Mus musculus: one gene and its partner. The protein of the gene in region 2 purifies or fractionates together with the protein of the main gene of each other region. This does not show direct contact. Links are inferred from orthologs where the notes say so. Each region holds a gene or a part of one and is shown on either strand. Other genes may lie near its edges.

Region 1 (3,521 bases), on a different chromosome or scaffold from region 2:
GAAGGTGGCAGCTGGAAGAGAAGAGCCCTCTGTCTTCAGTGTCCTTTAGCTCAGGTCTTCCTTGCACCTGTAGACTTAGTGACTTCATGTGACCCTGGGTTTTTCTATCCCAACCATTGTCTTTTTAAAATACAGGTTGAGGAAGGTGCTAAAAATATACAGCTGGGTTCACTCATTGCTTTGATGGTTGAAGAAGGGGAAGATTGGAAACAGGTGGAAATTCCCAAGGATGTCAGTGCTCCACCTCCAGTCTCAAAACCACCAGCTCCTACTCAGCCCTCTCCACAGCCGCAGATTCCTTGTCCCGCCAGGAAGGAGCACAAAGGGACGGCACGGTGAGTGCGTTTATGTGAACATGGACATGATTATTGTGTAAAAAGGGTAATGATTATTTTAGGGTTTGAAATCAGCATCATCCACTTTTCTCTTAGGACACTGAAACATAAGATGATTATTTTACATCCTTCTTCATTTGATAAACAGTGAATACTGGTTTTGTTTGGGCTAGAATCTAAAAGCCTTGCTTGCTCAGTGTAGAATAAAATCATCTGTATCTATGCTGAACCTCAATTAGGTTCTAAAATTGCAGAATGATGTTCATGAGACCAAACTTAATTTTTTGTGTTTAAATGTAAATTCAAGTATCCAGTATATAGTTGATACAAAATGAAAATTTCATTTTAGCGTATGTTCCTATTCAAACAGTTCAGTATTTGAGATTCTGACACGGGTAAAGTTTTTCCAACTGTCCTGTGATAGTACAGGTTCTTGCGACCATTGTCCCTAGTTCACCAGTGCCAGTGTTGCAGATTGGTATCTCTGCACCTGTCTTTTATGTAGGTACTGAAGATCCAAACTCAGTACGCAGGCCCTAGCCCTAATATTACTGTTTACAAAGCATACTGTGCTAGTTTGATCAGAGAGTGCAGTGTATATTGTTGGGATCTGGGTAACCAGAGTGACCTTTTAGCTCCCTGGGCGGCAGCCCGGCATTTCTCATTTCCATGCCGGGCTCCCTGTGTTTTCTCCTCTCTGACTTACGCTGACAGTCAGAAGCCGTCTTACGTGTGTTCTGAACATTTACTCTTTCTAAAGTTATTTAGAATTGGTAACTACTTACTGCTTTATAAAAGTGTTTTGATGATAAAGTAGATTGATACAGATTAGTTTATGTGACTGTGACTATCCTTATATTTTGGGTTATGAGCCTAGCCTTTAACAGCTGAGCCATCTCGACAGCCTGACTGTGGCTCTCCCTGAGACTCATTTTAGCTTCAGTGTTAAGAATTCATTTTCCTAATTATCAGCAAAACTGTAGACATTTAGATCTATTTCAATCAATATAAGGGTTAATTAGTTTCATTCGTCTCCATGTTTTTATTCTTAGGTTCCGCTTAAGTCCAGCTGCCCGCAACATTCTGGAAAAACATTCATTGGACGCCAGCCAGGGCACAGCCACAGGCCCTCGCGGGATCTTCACTAAAGAGTATGTGCGCTGTCTCTTGTGAGGCTTTGCCAGTGCCTGGCAAATACAGAAGTGGATGCTCATCTATTGGATGGAGCACAGGGCTTCCAATGGAGAAGCAAGAGAAAGTATACAAGGAGCTGAAGGGGTCTGCAACCCTATAGGAGGAACAACAATATGAACTAACCAGTACCCCCAGAGCTCATGCCTCTAGTTACATATGTAGCAGAAGATGGCCTAGTTGGCCATCCTTTGAGGAGAGGCCCTTGGACTTGCGAAGATTATATGCCCCAACACAGGGGAATGCCAGGGCCAGGAAGTGGGAGTGGAAGGGTTGGGGAGCAGGGTGTGGGTTGGGGGTATAGGGGACTTTCAGGATTTCATTTGAAATGTAAATAAAGAAAATATCTAATTTAAAAAAAAACAAACAAACAAACCAAAAAAAAAAAAAAAAAAAAAGAGTATGTGCGCTTGCGTAATCCCCAGTCTCTTCACTTACCTTTTCTGAAAGGATTTTTAAATAGCGTATTCTGTGTAGAAATTTAAAACAAGGCACATTGTTCTTTTGTGGGTTTTTAATTGCTTTTGTTAGTGTAAGTTATATTCAATGCAAGGGTCTTCTGAATAATTGCACCATTATTAAGAATTAAATTTAATTAGAGCACCAGGTAGGGAAAGGTACTTGAACTTGTATAAAATCATCACCAGTCACATACATTTCCCAGGTATGGAGATGCACTTTTAAAATAATTTAATTCTTAGCTCTTCAGACTTTTCTTACTTCATTCAGAGGAGTTTCCATTTGCAGTTAATTCTCTTAAGGATTTCCTATTCTCTTTCATTGATCTGCCTGTGAGTTAATACCATTTAAATTATAAGTTTTATAGTATGCTTTAAAGTCTGATAGGCATTGCAGATTTCTCTTGTTTATTTTTCAACAAAGTAGTTTTATTGGTATATCCTTCCTTTAAATCGTAATCAATTCTAGTGTCGGTCTGCAGGTGGCGGAGAACATGGTCATTAATGAGATGCATTGAATTAACTCAGTAAGAACTGATCTGACATCTTTACGTAGGCAAGTCTTTCTAGTCAAGAAATTGGTACATCTTTGTATTTGTTTAAAATGGTCTCTCAACAGTCTATTAAAATAGATGGGCCTTTCTCTAGTGGAATTTAGCCTAATAAAGGTACAACAAAGACCAATCAAATGGGCCTGTAACCACATGTGAGATCCTCATAGCAATGTGTGACTCTAAGTGTGGTTAAATGACTAGAGTGGCTAACTTTTAGAGAGTTAGCTAGAACAAACAGATAGAAAGTGGTGGCTCTGGCCTGGGAAGCTGTTTTTTTCCCTCTGGTTTATATCTTTTTAATCACCTACCAGTCTGTGCCTTAGGTGAACTCTGTAAAAATGGAATAAAACAACTATCTTCATAATAAGATGGATTTGCCCTGTCTGTTATCTGAGGGCTAGGATAAATGTTCTGTTTAATTCATTAACCACTGAAGATTTGAAGAAATGCAAAATAATTATAGCTATACCTGAGAGGGATTAGCTTGGCAAGTCCATGCAGTGTAAATTACAACAGATAATGACCTCTGAGGTAAGGGGATCAGTTGAGGTAAGGCTCATAAAGTAATACAGGTAGGAGCTAATGAATACTGCCCTTAACATGGTTGAAAATCACGCAAGAGACATCTAGAGTGTGTGTCTGGGATCCTGGTCTGGATATAGAAAGTGTTGGCTCCAGAAGTCAAATAAGGTCAAATAAGGAGTTTGAGGAAGCGTTTGCCATAGCAGAGTAACTGATGTCTGCAGCTTTCTTTCACACTGCCGAGCTGTCTGGGAATCAGGACCTGTGTGATGAAGATGAAGGAGAGAGTTTGTATAGGTCATGAAGCAATTATTGTCATTGAGATCAGTGGCAGCTCATCATTTAGGAGACTTGATTTCTGTGTTAGGATGTTGGGAAATGGTCCACAAGTCAAGGAACAGAGGGTCTGAGGAAAGATTCTTGAACTTAGTTACTAGTGCCCCTTTGGAGAACAGCTTAGT
Region 2 (2,272 bases):
TCAACACACCCTATATCCAGAAGCTATGAATTGATGCCTGTAATCCCAAGACTCAGAAGATGAGAAGTAGAATCATGGTTTCCAGGCCACCTTGAGTTCTGTCATCAGTCTGTCTCTGCTTACAGCCAAAAGTGGCTGCTGTTCCGCACACAGACTCTGGGTCTCAAGTTAAGACCCAGTCTTGTTAGGCTGGGGAAGTGGCTTAGTGAAGTTGCTCTCAAGCATGGGGAGCCGAGTCCGGATCCCAGCACTCACATAAGAACAATGGCAGGGGTGGGTGGCAGCATGGGCTTGCTACCCAGCACTGCGGAGACCCTGCCAGGAGGATCCCTTGGGCTTGCTAGCTTGGCCAGCCAGTCTAGCCAGCCAGGTCCAGATTCAGTGAGACCATTTCTAAACAAACAAGGAAGAGAGCAATTGAGGAAGAAACTGGAGGTCACCTGTGTGTGTGTGTGTCCAGTCAGAAGATCCAGACTGGCAGCTGGACTTTACTATCCTGTGTATCAAGTAGTGCTTCTTGGGAAGTGTCGCTGTGCTTCGTCGGCTATAAAATGTGGATAATAGGACCTCTCAACCATAGGGGATCATGCTGTAGGCCCAGTGCATATTAAACTCTCAACTATATTTTTGATAAGAGGGATATTGAAACCAAGGAGGATAATGAATTCTATAGGTGAGCAAAGCTTCCTGTGATGGGGTGACAGGCTTTAATTGTAAATTCCCCCTTTACTTTTGTTTGAGATAAGATCTCACTGTGTTGCCAACACAGTGTCATCCTGCCTTAGCCTCCTAAGTGGTGAGCTTACAGGTGTGTGGCACTGTACTGCTTTTCCTTAGTCGATACAGTCGTGTACCTGTTTCTCCGATTCCACAAAGCCTGTTTCCTTGCCTTGTCTTCATTTAGGTAATAAATCTGCGCACCATCAGACCAATGGACATCGAAGCCATAGAAGCCAGTGTGATGAAGACAAATCATCTCGTGACTGTGGAAGGAGGCTGGCCACAATTTGGAGTAGGAGCTGAGATTTGTGCCAGAATTATGGAAGGTATTTCAAAGAACCTGGTTTTAGAACACAATCAAGCTGTACTTGAATGCCGACTTGTAAGAGATCAAAAGCTAGGGGTGACCAAGTGAATTTTCAACTTGTCAGTCTAGGGTTTTGTCTTTTGGGTAAATGTTTTTAAAAGTCAAGCCAAAAGTAGAGTCCTGTAACTACGATTCATTCTCTTCTTGAGTCCCGAGTCTGCCTCTCAGGTGAGCCATCTCTCTTCCTTAGGCCCTGCATTCAACTTCCTTGATGCCCCTGCCGTGCGTGTCACTGGTGCTGATGTCCCTATGCCTTACGCAAAGGTCCTAGAAGACAACTCCGTACCTCAGGTCAAAGACATCATATTTGCAGTAAAGAAGACTCTGAACATCTGATTCGGACTTTGAATGTAAAGTCATTGAAATCTATTTAAAATCCTTGTTGGGACTTCACCTGATGTGTACTGCGAGACTGCTAGTCATAAAGTTAATGCTGAAGTGACAGCAGGTGTCTGAACTGTAAGAAGTTTCAATGTGCTTATGAGTGGAATGTTGTCCACTCCCTACCCTAGATACTCTGCTTTGTCTGTTACTGTTTAAGTTAAATTTGCCCTCTTTCACTGGAAGGGGCAAGATAAGAATGCCCCCACAGAAGGTAACTTATATGTCTAAGAAGTATATTATCTACATTTGCTGTTTAATTGTTTTGATAAGGAATAAAGGGGATTCCCACCAATGAAGTCTTGGAGTACTATTAAGAAATTAGTGTCAAGCTGGGTGGTGGAGGCCCATGCCTTTAGTGCCAGCACTCTGGAGTGAGCCTCAGGAGGCAGAGGCAGGTAGATCTCTGAGTTCAAAGCCAGCATGGAGTACATTGTGAGTTCCAGGATAGCAAGGGCTACCCAGAGAAATCCTGCCTTGAAAAACTACATACATACGTATAGACGTATATTAGTGTCAAATAACTGATATGCTGTATATAAAAACTGTAGATTCTTAGAGTAGTTTTTTAGAGGATTTCAGTGTGTCTTTGGCTGGCCCAGAACTCAGGATCTCACAGATCTACCTGCCTCTGCCTCCAGAGAACTGGCATTAAAGGTGTGTGACACCACACCTGGCCCAAATTGAAGCTTTTTATTTCCAGAGCAATGCTCGTAATAGCCAAGCGCTCTACTACAGAACTCTATTGCTTTTATTCCTATGTCTGAAACTTTGCCCCAAACTGCAGAACTAAAACCAGAAGCA

The links. The genes of interacting proteins can lie anywhere in the genome.
Region 1: the proteins of Pdhb (region 2) and Pdhx purify together in Homo sapiens (affinity purification with mass spectrometry; 4 studies listed by BioGRID and IntAct, counting the BioPlex papers as one, with this or other methods). This does not show direct contact. The link is inferred for Mus musculus from reciprocal best matches to the Homo sapiens genes PDHB and PDHX.

The regions. Positions count from the first base shown.
Region 1 is NC_000068.7:103,039,008-103,042,528, reverse strand, and holds part of Pdhx (pyruvate dehydrogenase protein X component, mitochondrial), read left to right. Parts: intron 1-135; coding exon 136-335; intron 336-1,387; coding exon 1,388-1,486; intron 1,487-3,521.
Region 2 is NC_000080.6:8,165,487-8,167,758, reverse strand, and holds the end of Pdhb (pyruvate dehydrogenase E1 component subunit beta, mitochondrial precursor), read left to right. Parts: intron 1-904; coding exon 905-1,046; intron 1,047-1,277; coding exon 1,278-1,423; 3' UTR 1,424-1,768; downstream 1,769-2,272. UniProt on the Homo sapiens protein: The pyruvate dehydrogenase complex catalyzes the overall conversion of pyruvate to acetyl-CoA and CO(2), and thereby links the glycolytic pathway to the tricarboxylic cycle.